2 linked regions of the Drosophila melanogaster genome follow. The protein of the gene in region 1 interacts with the protein of each later gene in a pairwise test. Each region holds a gene or a part of one and is shown on either strand. Other genes may lie near its edges.

What was found. Proteins that work in one complex are often made in the same cells at the same time.
Region 2: the proteins of Creld (region 1) and CG15043 interact in a two-hybrid assay, tested with the Drosophila melanogaster proteins (one large-scale study listed by BioGRID).

What each region holds. Positions count from the first base shown.
Region 1 is NT_033779.5:100,410-105,897, forward strand, and holds Creld (cysteine rich with EGF like domains), read left to right. Parts: upstream 1-1,970; 5' UTR 1,971-2,049; coding exon 2,050-2,497; intron 2,498-2,596; coding exon 2,597-3,025; intron 3,026-3,106; coding exon 3,107-3,354; 3' UTR 3,355-3,468; coding exon of another isoform or gene 3,469-3,527; 3' UTR 3,528-3,733; downstream 3,734-5,488. Other genes in the region: Zir (Zizimin-related), read left to right, coding at 1-107, 163-294, 353-533, 607-785, 840-1,210, 1,467-1,509; Nhe1 (Na[+]/H[+] hydrogen exchanger 1), read right to left, coding at 4,064-4,538, 4,596-4,927, 4,982-5,046, 5,103-5,488.
Region 2 is NC_004354.4:18,491,836-18,496,458, reverse strand, and holds CG15043 (uncharacterized protein), read left to right. Parts: upstream 1-2,290; 5' UTR 2,291-2,376; coding exon 2,377-2,611; intron 2,612-2,684; coding exon 2,685-2,941; 3' UTR 2,942-3,266; downstream 3,267-4,623. Other genes in the region: Pgant7 (polypeptide N-Acetylgalactosaminyltransferase 7), read left to right, coding at 1-50; CG15044 (uncharacterized protein), read left to right, coding at 4,568-4,623.

The DNA of each region.
Region 1 (5,488 bases):
TGTACAAAATTCTAATACCCATATGCGAGGCTAACAGAGATTTTCAAAAGCTAAGCAAAGTTCATGGCAAATTGCAGGAGGCATTTAATCGAATATCCCAACTACAGGTAACAATATTGTGTAAATTTTACCAACGGAAAATATATACATATTTATAAACAGGGTAAGAGAGTTTTTGGAACATACTTTCGTGTTGGCTTCTATGGCGGAAAATTTGGGGACTTGGATCAGCAGGAATTCATTTATAAAGAGCCAACATTGACGAAGTTGCCCGAAATATTTAGTCGGCTTCAGGTATATATTGCAAATTGGAAAAAATAGAACTAATCAATTTTGTTTCAACATACGTTAGAACTTTTACACTGAACGATTCGGACCGGACTCTGTGCATATCATTAAAGATTCCAATACCGTTGATATTAATAGCTTGGATCCCGATAAGGCTTACATTCAAATTACTTATGTTGAACCCTACTTTGAAACATATGAAATGCGTCATCGTGAGACATACTTTGAGCGGAATTTCAATATAAGTATGATATGAATTAAACAGATAATTTAAATCGAAATTTAAAATTATAATTTTAACATTTTTGGTTTATGCAGAACGTTTTATATATGCCACGCCTTTTACTAAAAATGGAAAGGCACATGGCGAACTAAATGAGCAGTGTAAACGGAAAACGATTTTGACCACGGCGAATCACTTTCCATACGTAAAAACTCGCATTATGGTAATTAGCCGACAGCAAATAGTCCTGGAACCGATTGAAGTGGCAATTGAAGTAAGTTATGTTGTAAAATCCCAAAAGTTAATAAAATTAAACGTTATTGCCTAGGATATTCAAAAAAAAACATTGGAATTGGCAGCTGCCACGAATCAAGAGCCAGCAGACCCCAAAATATTGCAAATGGTACTGCAGGGATGTATTGGAACCACTGTTAACCAAGGACCGATGGAAATGGCGAGTGTGTTCCTTTCCAATTTATCCGACGGAACAACTGTACCGACAAAACACCAAAACAAACTTCGGTTGTGCTTTCGCGAGTTTTCAAAGCGTTGTGCTGATGCTTTGAAAAAGAATCGCAATCTAATACTTTCAGATCAAAAAGATTACCAACGAGAACTGGAACGTAACAACGATCGGTTCATTGAACGATTGACTCCCTTTATTACTCTTACATCAGTTCAGAATCATGGCGTTGTCAAGTAAGTTTTTATTGTTATACAGTGAAAAGGAAAGTTACATTGTGTATACATATGTATTAAAATTCTCATGTCTTTCTTATTTTGTTCCTCAACGGAGTGCTCTAAATAATAGACATAAGATGCTTAATTAGATATTTATAGAATCCAGCCTAATATAGATATTACTTTACTATATGACTATATTAAAAACCACCAGTGCAAAAAGTAAACATTAACTTATATAATTTTTTATTTCTTTTCTAAATACATCCAATAGGGCCAACGCGTACAACAACAAAAGTACTCCTTTGAAATGGTAACTTCTTGCACACGACTTAGTCTGCAATCAAATTATCATACTTTTGGTCTTTCATGTCTAGCGTATCGGATTATTTTAAGTAAATCTTACATTTTAAATTATCGATCTCTATAATTGCTAATGTAATAGCATAACTTTTTTATGCATCTAATAGATTAAGCAAAATATTAAAAAGCGAAAAAAATAAAGTTTACACTTTTTTACTTTTACGAAAATAGTTAAAGCAACATGTTTCAAGCTACAAGGAGGTGCAGTTAAAGTGAGTGAAACAAATCGTATCCTACAGCAACAAAATTTAATTGTCGATTACCAGAAAAGGGAAGTATTCGAAAATGATAATCCTCGAATTTCGCATGGGTCGTTAACGGTTGTTAGATTGACTAAGAGTGAGCTCCGTGAGGCAATGGTATCGAACGCGACCTATCGGTATTCGCGAAACTTTCGAGTATACTATCGATGTTTTTATTTATCGATAGTGTCGGCTTTAATTACACGTAAACTCAGATAGTTTGCCGGTTAAAAAGACAATAAATAAATAAAAATGAGAATCAAGTATTGTTGGCTCGCAACGCTAGTATTCATAGCCGCTGCTTCGGCGTCATATTCTCCCGAAAAGCCTGTTCCGCCGCCCTGCAGGGCATGTACCCAGCTTGTTAGCTCTTTCAGGGCAGGACTCGAAAGGACAAAACGCGGACACGCGGGCGGGGACACGGCATGGGAGGAGGAAAAGTTGCGTTCGTACAAGAACAGCGAGGTACGGCTAGTGGAGATCCAGGAGAAGCTATGTTCGGAAGGAGAAGTGATAAACAAGGATCACTGCCACAACCTGGCTAACGAGCACGAGGCGCTTCTCGAGGACTGGTTTATCCACAAACAAACAGAGAGTCCCGACCTGCAGTCATGGCTTTGCATCGATCAGCTAACAGTCTGCTGTCCGCTGAACACCTACGGACCAGACTGCCTGACCTGCACCGAGTGCAATGGAAATGGTAAGTAATGATAACCAAGTATTACAGGCCACAACTTACATAAGTGTGTCAACTTAAGATTGCCGTCTTCGTTAATTTTACCCACATGACAAATTTCAGGAAAATGCAAAGGAGACGGAACTAGAAAGGGTAACGGAAAGTGCAAATGTGATCCCGGCTATGCGGGTCCAAACTGCAACGAATGTGGACCGGAGCACTACGAATCATTCCGTGACGAAAAGAAATTGCTGTGTACACAGTGCCATGCGGCCTGTGGGGAAGGAGGCTGCACGGGAGGTGGTCCCAAGAGCTGCCGCAAGTGTAAGAAGGGCTGGAGCATGGACTCGGAGGCAGGATGTGTCGACATTAATGAGTGCTTGGAGCAACAGCGTCCAAACCCTTGCCGACCACAGCAGTTCTGCGTGAACAATGAGGGCTCCTTTAGTTGCCTGGAGTGTGATCGATCTTGCGATGGATGCGATGGTGATGGCCCTGACATGTGCAGGAAGTGTGCGGATGGCTATGAGTTGAAGGAAGGAAAGTGTCATGGTAAGTAAGACAGAAATTTAATAAATTTGCTTTTAAGCAACGCATTGTCCACTGTATGTATTGCGCCTCCGATCATTTAAGATATTTCTGCGGAGCAACGCAGCAACTACGTAAGCTTTACGCGAATGCTCACCTACTTCGGAATGTGCGTGGCCACCTGTGTCATCTTCCAGAGCTCTACTCATATTGCCTGGGGTTGCATTGTTGGGGCGGCAGTGGCAGGGTACATTGCTGTTTCCGAGTACTGGATCAACTCGGAGGCAGGAGGCGGCCACCAACCCGAAATAGATACAAAACAGTTGGAGGAACTAATAATGAAGTCTTTATAAGTCAAAAGACATGTCAACATTGCTTTCCTTTTATGATATACACGAGCGTTTTGAAAAGCATAATCTTTTAACATTCCCCCAAGACATCTAACGATTTTTGTACTTCGTTTGCAGTCCGCAGTGATTCAAACTCCACGGTGCTCGGTGAAGAGTCCACGCACGAAGAATTGTAAAAGTAACCAAAAACGCACACCTTTTGTAGCCAATTTTACTTTAATAGGTAATATTATCAATTGATATGTAATTATAAATTAGAATTTCAAAAAGCAGGGCATGACCATATTTTTTTACACGTACCACACTTAGATATTTATTTGGTTTCAAAAATGTATAAAATCACAAATACAGCATATATTCGTATGAATAAATATTTTTAACTAAAATTACTGACGTAGTGTGCTTTTGTGACGTCCAAATTTTCATTTTGAAGACCATCTGTCGTGTGCAATGTAATACTGCTTTAAGCGGATTAATAAAGGAGCTACAGTGATACGAATGAATCATTGCATTTGGATCTTACAAAATGAAAATTTGTAAACAAAAAATATACACAAGATAACAACCATCACCGCGCTATATAAATAAAAACTCTAAAAATATTAACTAGAGGAACTTAAGCATTACATACGATCGTTCCCTTTGGCTTCTAAAGTTATCCAACACAGTCCGAAACGGATACAGAGCTCCCCCCACAACAGCCATTTAATCCCTACGACCGTGTCAAATGAATTTGACTTGTGCTGGCCGCTAGTCCTATCTCTTCGTCCGATTCATCTGAATCCAATGGACTCACTCGAATGGCTTGGTACCACTTGTTAGTCAGGTCGGCCATCTGTGACTTGCACTCGTGCAATTCCTGACTATTGAACCGACGTGTAAAAAACGGAATAAAGTACTTGCGATCCATGCGCCCAAAACGATCGCGCGCTTGAGTAAAGGTGACGTCCTCTTCCTCGGTGAGTTCAGACAAGTGTTCAGAGTCGATTGCCTGGCCCCATTCGCGAGTTTTCGATAGGGAAATAGATTTTGAACGCTTCCTACCGCTGCCGTTGCGTCGACCTCCCTCCTCAGCGGCATTCCTTCCAGAGCCGCGTGCCCGCCGTTTTTTTCCTGGCTTAAGGTACTTTAGCAGAGGCATTGTGGAGCCCCCCAGCACTAGCGTGGTAAATAGCACAATGATTAATCTGAAATTTTAATTCTTCAATGACTGAGCATTATTTTACAATCCGGAATATGCTTACGTTGTTGTTATGATGACGTGTCGTTTCTCCTGGCTGTCAAGATTCAAGTGCAAAGATAGCGCGTAGGAAATCGCTCCGCGTAGGCCAGAAAACCACATAATGAACTGCATCTTGTTATTGATCTTATGCTCGCGAAATTTGTTGACCAAGAACGCGAGCGGAAAAATATTGCAGGCGCGGCCAATTAAGCAAAGCACAATGGCCCATATAACAAAAGATAGTTCAACTTGGTGTTTAAAAGAAAAGATTGCTAATCCCAGATAAGCAAACACGCAGGTCTCAGCAATGAAAGCTAGTGTCCTCATCGTCTGCTGCATGGTAATTTGGGTAACCTACGATTAAAAAAGTTTTAATAATATATAAAATAGGGATATCATATGACTTACAGTGGATAGGTTGAAATGCGTGTAGTGGGACATGACGATTCCGCAAAATAGTATAGCCATAATACCTATAGTTGAAAAAAATGTTTAGCTTTTAGAGTCATAGTCAACAACATTGATATACCGCTTAAGTGTATTCCCTCTGCCAAGACGTAAGGTGCGTAAGTAAACATTAGCATCATCGCGAACTCGAGGGATGGATGCTTTCGTAAATCGATGTGCTTCAGAAGAAGAGCCGAAATTAGTGCAAATATGACTCCAATGCCCGCCGAAGCAAAGAACATCGCGCAAAAGGTCTTCAACGCGCTGAACATGGCTTCTCCAGTGCTGGCCTCAGCATTGACGTTAGCGGATTGGGTTATGGATGCAGTCAGCACAATAGATATGGCGTCGTTGAGGATGCTTTCGCCGAATACCAACATGTTGAGTATGGGGTCTACGTCAAGAGCATGGAAAATTGCCACTGTTGCCACAGGATCAACAGCAGAGATGAGAGAACCGAAGGCAAAG
Region 2 (4,623 bases), on another chromosome or scaffold:
ACGATAGCTACCAGCAGTGGTGGTTCAAGGAGATACGCCCACGCTGGTAAGTCCAGCATGTTTGGGAGGAGCAGCAGGAGGAGGAGGATCAAGGAATGGATCACAAGGGTTTCAGCCGGGGCAACGGGGGCGATATTTTAGACAAAAGCAATTTAGTGAAAATGAGAAATGGAATTGTTGTTGGTTTTGTAACGCATATAAGTATTGATATACACACGAAAAACACAAGATATCACACACATCTGCATTTATGACGCGAACTGTATGTACATATGCACTGTCGGCACTTGGAAATCGCCTGGGCAACCGGGATTCAGACAAGGGCATTCAATGCTCGGCGAATAAATAAATCCACAAGGATATTATTAAATTATTAAAGCTTAAGAATTTCGATTTTGTAAAACAATGTCGTAAGGAATCGCGAACAATTGTATTTCCATGTAAGCATTAGAACAATTGCTTTTAGACCATATTTGTAGTGCATGAAGTGAATGCAATTTTCAAAATCGTGTGTGTGTGTTAGTAGTAGTCGTACTTGAAAACTGTTTTCCACTTTTGTCACGAAAGATCAAACTCCACAAAATGCACTTAGTGCAGAGCGTACGAAAATCATCACAATTAGCTGATAGTGAACCCATTCCCATTTCGATCGGCGAATCTCATACAATAGATATTCAATTGATATTTGGGAGGATCCAAGCCTGGGGGATTTCCGTGCCGACCTCGTGTGTGTGTGTCCTTGCGTATGAGTGAGAGAATGCGATGGGTATAGAGCGGAAGCGAATAAGAGCGAGATAGCGCGATGGCGGGATGGCGAGTCGAGTGCAATAGAGGATTTATGAAACGGGAACGGGACGCGATGACAGGGCCGCAGATTGTTTTGCTTTATGATTGCCAACTGAAAAAATGAATGTACTAACCTTAGTCTATACTCCTGCAAGTCCAACTAATCCTAGCTTAGTTTCAACGCTGCCACATTCCAATCTAATCCATTATAATCTATTCTAATTCCAATCCAATCCAATCCGAACCGAACCAATCGAGTCTGCAGCGAAGCTCGGCTCTCTTACTACTAATCCCATTATTTTTTTTTAAACTCTTGATTTTCGTAAAGCTCTCTGTACCAGGTAGTCGTAATCGTAATTGATCGTTGCAAGTGCTTCGGGAGTTTGATTTTTGAAAACAATATTTTACATTCATGTGTAACTTTAGAGTTATCGATAAGTCTGAATAATAGCATAGAAATAAAAACGTTTTCTAAACACTTTACCATGTAAGCCGAGCTGTTGAATGTTTAATATTGTGGGGAAGGGTCGATCCATTTATAAATCAATAGATATAATAAAGTTCCCATCTCAAGATGTGCTCACAATTTGAAACCTAAGTGCACAGAACAAGTTCGCATTTTTCGAAAGTTTTTAAAATTTCTTTTAATTTTATATTCTTTTGACGTAGGTGCACCATTAATGCCCCGCCAATTCTTTAAGTGTACGCATAGAATGGCGAGTAAATCCAATTTTAAGCAGATGATTCATAACTTATTGTTAAATCAAATCTACAATTATCGATGGCCGCGTTGATTGGGAGTGGTGATGATGGGTCGATTCGTCTCGAAGGTACTCGACGTCCCACTTCCAGGGAAGTCCACGGGCGATAAGATTCCGGGAAGTTCTTTCCTCCATCGCGGGTAGGGAAGTCTAAAAGCGCGAGGAAGGGGGAGGGAAGTCCAACAGGGGGACGCCAGCAGGTGTCAATCCTGGGGCAATAGATTGCGCCTAGAGTTAGTTTTTGGCTAATCAGGGCCTGAGGAAAAAAAAAAGATTGTTTGTTTACCGTCGGATAGGAAAGGTCGTACTCCCAAAGTGGGAGTCGTGGTCTTATCTTCCGCCCATTGGTACACCATCGCAGCTGCCGGCGGGGCGAAAGGGGGATGATTGGATCCGAGCGCAATAACACCGAAATTGTTCAATTTAATTGAGTGAAGTGGGAAGCTTCCTTATCAGCATTATTATGGTTACACTTCCGTGGGGTCGCTGCACTGTAAGGTGCTAGATATAAAAAAAAGCCCAATAACTCATTTATTTATCCTCTAAGCTCTAATTCAATACAAGAGTTTCATTTCTGAACGAGAAGTAGAGCAGTTCCAGCGTCGGTGTGACTCTTTTTCCGGTATTGGATTAGACATTGTCACTTGCCACTTGAAATTGGCAATGGGCCTGATAAGGGGGTACCTAATATGATTCAAAGAAAAACAGTGGGCGGTATAAATAGGTGGTTTCCAGACCTTGGCCATCATTCCGTGACTTCAACGTGCCGTGACTGGAGACCCTTAGTCCACACACTTCGTTTACCTCGAATTTCAATTCAACGCCCAAGATGTCCAAGTTTAGCCTCATCCTGTTGTCCGCCCTGCTGGGCTGTCTTGTGTCCGGTGGAGCGGCTGGAACAATACGTGTGGATACCACCGGCATCCAAGTGGTGGATAATATCCATGTCTTTGCCGCCCAATACCCGGGTCTGCAGATCCAGCAGATGGAGAAGGAAATTGTGCCGGCCAAGGCCCGCGTCGGAAGCCAGACCGTGCGCTACAACATGGGAGCCCGCATTCCGGGTAAGTTACCCAAAGCATACCCTACGTTTGACCGACCACCAATCACTGATCCCGCAATCTGGCATACTTTCAGGCGACGAACTGGTGGCCCAGACAGCCAACACTTACGAATTCCCACGGGCGCAAGATGTGAGCCTGCAGCTTACCTATCCGGAGAACGGCAAGGGTGCCACTGTATCCTACGTGGAGCTGCTCTGCACCCAGGACACCAACGAGGGCACCGCCTACGTGGTCGCCGGAGGCATCGGCCAGAGCTTGATCTCCATCGTGCTGGAGGCCAAGAACACCAAGAACTTCTCATACCAGGCTCTCTACTACGGAGTCAACTAGGAGGCATTTGCATTAGTTCCTCGCTAGCTTTATATATATATATATTTTTTTTTTTTTTTAAATGTGACTCCAATTTTAAATACATATGTATAATGGCAGACTAAAATGATTGCAGCACCTGCAATTATCTAGATTTACGTAATTAATTTCATTTCATTGATGGGATAAAGTTTATATGCTGTCATATGTTTAATCGTAAATATGCAATTAGATCATATATGTTTGTACTATCAGTCACTCTGTTAATTGAGTTATATGATAAATCAAATTCGGACCTGTTCCTCTAATTAAAAAATTTCATTTTTAACGAAGAATGTGTAGATCCAAAGATATACATGTACGTCTTTCACTGTGTACGATCGAATGTCGAATGTATTGCAAAGCTGAAAAGTCGGTAATGGTAGAGATCATATATCACCATCCCCAGGGTATTCGGTAATCTTGATCAATTTCAAATGGTTCGTTGCTCACGCGCCTTCCACTCGAAACCGATGATAGCCATTGCCATAAATCTGGGACAGCCACTCACCTGAATCCGCTGTGGATTCCGATTGCGGCTCCGTTTGGCATGGAAGGTGAAACCAAGGCGGCAAATCATCCAGGGATTTGTCTGCGAAAGAGTGAGACGCATGAAGTTTTTGTTCTACTGACGTTATTGAACTTTCCCCCTATCTGGCTGGATTTTTAGAAGGAATTCCCAACCGAATGAATCACGTTTTGGATGAGAACGAACAATGGCCAAACTCCCAAGACTTTGCGATTCAATTGGGTATTTATCATATAGCTGGGCATCTGAGTATCTGAGTATCTGTCTTCATTCAACTATTGGGGGGACTTTCTCTGGTGGTAAGTACGTCAGTCCAGAATCGATGTGGTATATATAGATATGTATGAATATAGTATCTATGACCATGTTGCGTAGACAGTCAATTGACTTTGTAGATACGGTTATTTGTTTATTAGATTGTTTGCCATTGTGCGCCATTATGCATATCAAGGCTAAGATTGTCGTGGAACAAATAAACAAACAAACACGCGCCATCACAGATCGTCATTCAACGGCGGAGGAAACATTTCCTTTATCCAGTAAGGTGGTGCTTCCTATCACTGGTTTTATTATTGGGTGGGTTGTCATAAAAAAAATAAAAATAAAAATCAACAACATACTATCTAGCCGCTTACTAATAGATTGAACTACGATAGCACATTAAGTTAATGCTTCTTGTACGCAGTCCGTCCAATCGTCCAATCAAATAACAAGTGTTCCCATCATATCCCATCATATGCCCATCCAATCCAATCCATTTCCCAGCGGTGTAAGCTCGAGTGTCCTATTTATAGGAACTGATCGCAGCATTATGGCCAATTAGTCGATGTGGTTTTATAAAGGCGTTTGCCGAAATTGCCACAGCCAATTCCCCCGGGGGCTTATCGTTCAGTTGTGTCGGGCCGTCTTATCGACGTAGTGACCGCCGATAAGGAAGCATGTATAAAAGCCGGAGGCGGTCGCCAGTACCAGCCAAAATTCAAAAAGCGTTCGAATAGTGCATCAGAAAAGGAGTCTACACACCCCTTATTCTTCCGATTATTTTGTTTCGTTCCCATTTTTTTTCTGGTGATCTGGTGATGTTAACAAAGATGTTCCTAGTGCTCTGCCTGGTGCTGGGCATCATGGCATCGGT